2 linked regions of the Schizosaccharomyces pombe genome follow. The protein of the gene in region 1 binds, or shares a complex with, the protein of each later gene. Each region holds a gene or a part of one and is shown on either strand. Other genes may lie near its edges. The genes, in order: red1 and pla1. A codon is read from its position in the direction of its gene.

Region 1 (3,923 bases):
ACTAGACGAGGCTCCTGACGAGCTAATAGAAGGTCCAGCCTCCACAAAATCGGCTTTGGAACTAAGATCAACGACTTTTTCAAAGGTATCCAAGTGTGTTTTAGATTTGTTGTCAACCGCAGCTACAGGGACAGATGGAAGTTTCATATCGGCGGCAGAAGTTGGCGATCTATACGGTTTTTTATTAGACTCAAGCCGTAAGATCAACTTTGTCATTCGCCGTATTTCCTCTTCTTTATTGCGAAGAAGCGCCAAGTAATCTGAACGAGACATAGTAAGACCATTTTCACTATTTGAGGGGGGCTTTTCTAAATTAGATTGTTCTATCTTCGAATTCGAAAAGTCATCTCCATCATCATCGGAATCAAATTCAATAACTACATTTGGAGTCGAGGAGCCAAAAGGCTTCGAAGAAGATAGCCAATCGTCCTGCTTCAAAAGTGGTAAAGATATAAGATTTTTTCTTTCAGGAAGGACGGTAGGTGTACCATTATCGCCAGGTAATATATGTGTGTCACTAAGATTACTGTCAATCTTACGAAGTTTAGCAGACCTAGCAGCTTTGTCTGCAGATAGTGTCAGACTTCCTTGGGAGCTAGCAGAAGAGGAATCCAGTCCGAGCTTTAAAAATAAAGTATGAACAACCGAAGGCTCGATGCCCTCAGCAATAAAATCGTTAAAGCGCACTCCTACTTCAAACAACTGACTCACAGCTTTCTCTGCTTCCTTTTGATTAGTAGTCTTGGAATAATTTGCATCAGAATTTTTAGATGTTGAAAGAAAAGGTGATTTTTCTGATTTTGCCTTTTCACTCTTTTGATAAGAAGTGTCGGATGATAAAGCCAATGGTCGGCTAGTAGCGGTATCTTTAAGAGCCCGGTTTTCTTTAAATGACTGGGAAGTATTAGAAGAATCCGATGTTTCAGAAGACTTCGCCTTATTTCGGTTGTTGAATGAATTCTCAGATGACCGTTTGCGCTTCGAAAAGGTTTTGTTTGAGGAGGCGGTTTGAGGAAAGAAAGGAACTGTATTTGGTCCAAACATCAAAGCTGGAGGAAGCATAAAAGGTGCGCCAAATGGAAAAAAATTCGCGTTAGTTCCAGGAAATCTAGTGTGTTAGTTAGATAAGACACCTGATGGGTTGAATGTATTCAAGTTCGAAAAAAAAAAAGGAAATTTTACAAATTGTCATTCTCGTAATCCCAAAGTTGGAGTTAAACCGTACAGAACAGCATAACTAGCGGAGAATAGCTCCGTAGAAAAGATAAATAAGCTGCACTGACAGGTTTAATCAAATGCCATGCTTACCTATCAAAAGGAGGCAACTGAGGAATTTGCTCAGGAAAGGTTGGTACTTTCATTGGCGGAACTAAACTGTTAAAAAAACGAATTCATTTAAACGGTGAGAAAATTGAAAAGATGGATATCAAAACATAATTTCCAAATACATATAAAAGGCTTCTGCCAGCTTTATTTTTCTCTCTTTAAAAAAAAAAAAGCCACGCATATAAATAGAGATATGAAATGTTCTAAACGAATGCAAGCAATCGTCGAGGAAAACTCAATAAAATGCGAACAAGCCTATAAAAACAAAAAGTCTCGTTTCACAATATATTTGTGTAAATTTCCATCTCTAATCTACCTTACCTGAATTTGATTGATCTATAACAGGATCGTCTTCGCTAATTTCGCCATCTTCTTTGTCAGAGTCATTACTCTCATCTTCTTCATTCTTCTTTTTTGATTCTAAAGCCTTTTTTCGCAACTCATCGAGATTTATTGACCGGGACATTTATTTACAGCTAAAACTGGGTTAGTAGTGCCAAATTTCAACAGCAGATGTTTTGTTTGTAGTACCAGTTAAGACAGTGAAACGCGAAAAACATTAAATATTATTGCACATAAAGTTTTTTCACCTCAGAGCATGTTATTCCCTAATAAAGATATTGATGGTTGAATACTTTCTTATTTGTTCTAATGAACTGTCTGAAATATGCACTAAGACTCTTTATTTACAAAACATTCGGAATTAGTCTATTGAACAGGTATACTGAATGTAGCAAATATATTTTCAAACAATTTTAAAAAGTAACACAAGAACAGCTAATATGTTCAGCCTTATTGGCTTGCTCATACGAAAAGTGTAGCGGTGATTCAAAGCTTTCGCATCCAATTATCTTTTGCTAGTTTACAGCACAAATTTACGCGAAGGTGAAATAACATTTTTGAGTTATCAAATTATAGCGGGAAATCTGCTTTTAATGGACTAGTCAGTAATTTAGTAGCGGCCGCCTTGTCTCATAAATAGAAACATAGAACATCTGGAGAAGTTCAAGAAAAATAGCGAAAATGAGAAAACTGTGTTTTAAACCTTTGTCCAATAATGATAATGTTTTCTACTAGCATATCCTTCTATGAGCACATGAGAAAAAGAAATATTCTTTCGCTCAGTTCGGTTTTAACGTTGGAACAGTCTTTGGCCTTTATTAAAAACTTGAAGTTCATAAACTAAAAACAACAAAAACATTGTGCTTTATGCAAATTTCGTGTGCAATAAAAGTTCGGGTATCCGTTTATGATGTTTTAGCACGAAAGCCGACTATTGACAGTAACACTGGTAATAGCTCTTTTTACTAAAAACCCTCATCGAAAAGGTAGTTCCGTATCTGATTACAAGGCCGATCGTGCAAAAATACTAAAGACCGAGGAATATGTAATCGTGCAGTTTTATAACATACTCTTCCGTTGCTTAAGTTATTAATCTGAATTTAGTCTGTTTAATCCGTTACATGAAAAATTTAGCCTTTCAGGAGCTTGAAGAAATGATTTAAGATCAAAACGCTTTCATGTAATCACCTAACAAAAATGCTAGATTTTGTTATTATTTATTATTGAAATTCCCCCATAAACCTCGAAATTTTAAGACCGGTCAAGTTATCATTTGAGGCTAACAGGCGGCCTTCAAGCATTTAAAACGAAAGACCGTATTCATAGATTATTTATTGGTAATCTCAATGAGGCTAGTACCTTTGATCTGTTACTACTTGCGAACATACTATTTGTCTCCAAATGTTTGCTGTAGTGTATGCTCGCGCTCCCTCAATCGTTCAGAAAGTTCAAAGCAATGCAATTTCAATTCAGAGTTTACTTTTTCCAATTTTCGAACTCGCTTTGTTTCTCTCATCAACTGCTCTTGAAAAACTGACCGCAGTGACTTTTCGGATTTTGCGTTCTTACCTGGCATAAACTCCTCACAAGGAATTTGTTTTTCTTCTAAGAAGATTTCCTTGTAAGCTTCAAGTTCTAAAATAACTTTTTCAAGATCTTCTTGCTTCATCTGAAGTTCATTTGCTAACATGCGTTTGGATTCGGCCAAATAAGTATACGCATTTTCCAATGAATCGTATACCATCCCCTCCTTGAAGTGCAGTTCAGGTACTACAGCATTATTCTGTAAGTCAATGTTCAATGACTCATCCTTTTGGACAACAATATTTCTCACGTCAACATTTTCTCCCAATAATTTTCTGTTTTTATCCATATCGCGCAGAGCTATGTCTGACATCTCTTTAAATACGGAAACTTTCTCACCAGATGGGGACTTAGTGATTGAGATTTTTGTGTTGTTGGAAATAGAAGATGAATCATTAAAGCTTTTGACTAATTTACTAACCCTTCCTGAGATAGAAGTATTATTTTCGCTTTCTTGCCCTAGTTGCTCAAAGTCTGAACAAGAAGGTGATCTGCAATCAGTATTTACACCGATAAGCTTATCTTCAAGTAACGACTGAAGAGTAATTTTATAATTCCTTAACTCGATTTCCTTCGTTTGGTATTCTTGATCCTTTTGTACAAACTTTTTTGTTATATAAGTCAGCTCATCAGAAAGTGTATGTTCATCAAGATCTTCAAGCTTTGTAGAT
Region 2 (3,923 bases), on another chromosome or scaffold:
GATTGATTGGTCGAATGAGTAATAAATATAACAATTTATTAAAAGAAGTTGCAGCTAAATATGCTAGTATCATTCTAAATGATGCGAAAATTAAGTCTTTAACTTCAATAAATAGTGCCGAATATCTATATGATTCATTTGTTGAAATTAGTAAATTACCACTGGAAAAGAAGCTTCCGTTAAAATGGAAACTGATTACAGTAAAGGAAAATATTTGCACGAAGACAAATTTAACCACGGCAGCCTCTAATATGTTGAAGGGTAGACAATAAGAATATATTTCAGTTACTAATTGCGGTTTAACTAGACTACAATTCTCCGTTTGATGCGTCAATTGTCGAAAGCTTGAAGAAAGCCGGCGGTATTATTCTTGGTAAAACAAATATGGATGAGTTTGCAATGGGAGTCAAGAGCGAAAACAATCTTTTTGGTCGCACTGTTAATCCTGTTGTTAAGGATAGTAATTACGATGTTGGGGGCAGCTCGGGAGGAGCTGCTGCTGCAATCGCGGCGGATATATGTTATGCATCAGTTGGTTCAGACACAGGAGGATCAATCCGTCTACCTGCTGCTTACGTAGGTTGTGTAGGTTTTAAACCATCTTTCGGCAGGATTTCGAGATATGGAATGCTTGCCTTTGCCAATAGTTTTGACACAGTGGGTATCGCTGCAAATAATGTTAAGGGCGTTACCAAAGTATTTAATGTTTTAGACCATCCCGACATAAATGACTCAACCTGTTTAACTAAAGAAGCTCGTTATTTTGTTAAAGAGCAGCACAAAAAATTATCGCGGAAGCCAATTAAAATAGGAATTCCAATTGACTGGAATGTTTCTGAGACTCATCCAAACGTTTTAGATAAGTGGAATGAATTCATATCTCTTCTGAAATCAAATGGTTATCTTGTCCAAGAAATACAGCTTCCAATTTCATTATACGCTAACAGTGTATATTCCACAATGGCTTATGCAGAAGCGACTTCAAATTTGGCTAAATATAATACTATCGCATTTGGCAATTGTTTAGATGAAAAGTTCGAAGAGGAAATAATTTCATCTACTGCACGCTCTTTTTTTTTAGGAGACGAAGTGAAAAAGAGGCTACTGCTAGGCGCTTATTCACTAGCAAGAATGTATGATATAACTGATTTACTAAGTAGTTACTAATATTTACAAATAGGAATTCCTCTGATTTGTTTTCTAAGGCTCGATACGTTCGCCGAGCCATACAGCTGGAATTCAACAAAAACTTTTTTCTACCTTCCTTTTCTGTCGATGATCCCAGGGGTGACATCGATTTCATAGTTACCCCTTCTTTTTTTAATTCCAGTCAACCCATTGAAACCCCGTCCTCTTATAGTCATCTTTCAGATACTATGTTAGTTCCAGCGAATATGGCTGGAATACCATCCGTTAGCATACCTTTCGGTACTTTGAACAATGGGCTTCCAATGGGAATTCAAATTATGGCCCAATATCTTAATGACGAAGATTTGTTGTCTTTTGCAGGCCAGTTTGCATAGATTTCGGCTGCTTATCTAAACTCTCGAAACATGGCTATGATAATCTTTATGAGCATAATAATTCTTTACTGTTTGGAATCAATTTCATACATTGAAACTTGTTTGCAAAGAGTTTTGGAGAACTTGTCATCAATAATTCGACAGTTTCCCTACAACTGCGGTAAATCCAATAAATAGATGTGGATTCTGAATCATTTACACTTCTCAGCAACATAAATTATTTTTACATTTCAAGTCGCTAGTTTATTCAACCAAAAAAAATGCATATCTGAAGGATGGAATTTAACGGGTAAGCTTTTAAATACAAAACCAGGAGCAATCGGTTTGTCAGATAATGAACATAGTGCACTGTCAAGATATATATGATAAACAGCAACAATTGTATAATTTACCAGATAAATTAAATTTGATTTAATCGAAATAAATGTCTCAGTGCAACTGTAAATGAATTTTTTGACATTATAATAAGATAACGCACTTTGTGAAATTGCGTATTTATGCCTTAAATCCTAAACGAATGCTAACCAGATCTACACATTTAGCATTAGTACGCTTTAAACCAGTTGTTTTTAAAGGTTAGGATAATTTAAAACAGCTACCTTTCAAGACTCCAATTTTTGTTTTCAAAGCATGACTACCAAGCAATGGGGTATTACACCGCCAATTAGTACTGCACCTGCTACTGAACAGGAAAATGCTTTGAATACGGCTTTAATTAATGAGTTGAAGAACCAAAACTTGTTTGAATCTCCTGCCGAATCTGAAAAAAGAGTAAAGGTTCTTGATGAGTTGCAACAAATAACGACAGAATTTGTAAAGAAAGTATCACTTGCCAAACATATGAACGAAAAGATGGCTAATGAGGCAGGGGGGAAAATTTTTACGTACGGAAGTTATAGACTGGGCGTTTATGGACCTGGATCAGACATAGATACCCTAGTCGTTGTACCCAAGCATGTTTCTCGCGACAATTTCTTTCAGGACTTGGAACCTATGCTTCGAGAAAGAGAAGAGGTAACTGACCTTGCTGCTGTACCTGACGCCTATGTTCCTATTATTAAGTTTAAATTTTTGGGAATAAGTATAGATTTAATTTTTGCTCGTCTTTCAGTTCCGCGTGTTCCCCGCGACCTCGAATTGTCTGATAATAACTTATTAAAGGGTGTTGAAGAAAGATGTGTGCTAAGTTTGAATGGTACACGTGTTACGGATCAGATTCTGCAGCTTGTCCCTAATCGTGCTGTTTTTAAGCATGCTTTAAGAGCCATAAAGTTTTGGGCTCAACGTCGTGCAATATACGCTAATGTCGTAGGATTTCCTGGAGGAGTCGCCTGGGCCATGATGGTAGCTCGAATTTGCCAACTATATCCGAATGCAGTATCTTCTGTGATTGTTGCTAAATTTTTTCGTATTCTTCATCAATGGAATTGGCCTCAACCAATATTGTTAAAGCCCATTGAAGATGGCCCCTTACAAGTACGTATCTGGAATCCAAAACTTTATCCATCCGACAAAGCTCACCGTATGCCAATTATAACCCCGGCTTATCCATCAATGTGTGCAACTCATAACATTACTTTATCCACCCAAACAATTATCCTTCGCGAAATGGTTCGGGCTGGAGAAATTGCTGACCAAATAATGGTCAAGGCTCTTCCCTGGTCAGCTTTGTTTCAAAAACACGACTTTTTTCATCGTTATAAGCATTATCTTACGATCACAGCAGCTGCTAAGACAGCTGAAGCTCAATTGAAGTGGGCAGGTTTGGTTGAATCTAAGCTTCGTCATTTGGTTACTAGACTGGAGCTTGTTGATGCTATTGCTTTGGCACATCCTTTCAATAAAGGATTTGATAAAGTGTATAATTGCTCCAGTGAAGAAGAAGCTCAACAAGTAGCTAGCGGCGTTACTCTTGAAGTCGCATATGAATCTACGGATCATGAAAAATTAGCCAACGATACAGTTAATGAAGAGAAAGCCGACAATACTGAGAGTAAAGCTGATGGTTCTGAAAATGGTGAAAAACAAATTTTTCCTGTTTACACTACAACATGTTATATAGGGCTTGAACTTGAAAAGAAGAAAGGCAAGATACTACATTTTGAAATTAATTATGCTAACTTTATTAGGTCATCCAATTAAAAGACTTGATATTTCTTGGCCTACCCAAGAATTTTACGAGTTGTGCAAAAAATGGGATAAATATGATGACACCTTAATGAACGTTTTCATTAAGAATACTAAAAAGTAAGTCATTTTATATATATACACTCTCACACATTTTAGTACTGCTTTACCTGATGAAGTTTTCGAACCTGGAGAAGAACGGCCGAAAGCTACTAAGAAGAGGTCCACTGCTGACACTGCACATAGTACAGAGGTAAGAATTCCGATTTAGCT

The links.
Region 2: the proteins of red1 (region 1) and pla1 are in contact, whole or in part, in a crystal structure (PDB 7Q72), measured with the Schizosaccharomyces pombe proteins. Residues at the interface, in NP_594850.2 of Schizosaccharomyces pombe: Lys294 (codon at 435), Trp298 (codon at 423), Leu299 (codon at 420), Ser301 (codon at 414), Ser302 (codon at 411), Lys303 (codon at 408), Pro304 (codon at 405), Phe305 (codon at 402), Gly306 (codon at 399), Ser307 (codon at 396), Ser308 (codon at 393), Thr309 (codon at 390), Pro310 (codon at 387), Asn311 (codon at 384), Val312 (codon at 381), Val313 (codon at 378), Ile314 (codon at 375), Glu315 (codon at 372), Phe316 (codon at 369), Asp317 (codon at 366), Gly322 (codon at 351); in NP_595362.1 of Schizosaccharomyces pombe: Lys358 (codon at 3,225), His359 (codon at 3,228), Leu361 (codon at 3,234), Ala366 (codon at 3,249), Ala367 (codon at 3,252), Lys368 (codon at 3,255), Thr369 (codon at 3,258), Glu416 (codon at 3,399), Ala419 (codon at 3,408), Gln420 (codon at 3,411), Ala423 (codon at 3,420), Ser424 (codon at 3,423), Phe468 (codon at 3,555), Val470 (codon at 3,561), Leu481 (codon at 3,594), Lys483 (codon at 3,600), Ile489, Lys490, Arg491, Leu492, Asp493, Ile494, Ser495, Thr498, Tyr502, Lys506, Asp513, Thr514, Leu515, Met516.

What each region holds. Positions count from the first base shown.
Region 1 is NC_003424.3:5,072,081-5,076,003, forward strand, and holds the start of red1 (protein Red1), read right to left. Parts: upstream 1,819-3,923; 5' UTR 1,793-1,818; coding exon 1,648-1,792; exon of another isoform or gene 1,370-1,647; coding exon 1,309-1,369; intron 1,109-1,308; coding exon 1-1,108. Other genes in the region: protein mcp3, read right to left, coding at 3,056-3,923. UniProt on the Schizosaccharomyces pombe protein: Promotes the exosome-mediated degradation of mRNAs containing a DSR (determinant of selective removal) signal sequence from mitotic cells.
Region 2 is NC_003423.3:926,836-930,758, forward strand, and holds the start of pla1 (mRNA cleavage and polyadenylation specificity factor poly(A) polymerase Pla1), read left to right. Parts: upstream 1-2,049; 5' UTR 2,050-2,153; coding exon 2,154-3,609; intron 3,610-3,652; coding exon 3,653-3,770; intron 3,771-3,809; coding exon 3,810-3,903; intron 3,904-3,923. Other genes in the region: gta1 (glutamyl-tRNA amidotransferase alpha subunit), read left to right, coding at 15-261, 308-1,133, 1,181-1,523. UniProt on the Schizosaccharomyces pombe protein: Polymerase that creates the 3'-poly(A) tail of mRNA's. May acquire specificity through interaction with a cleavage and polyadenylation factor (CF I).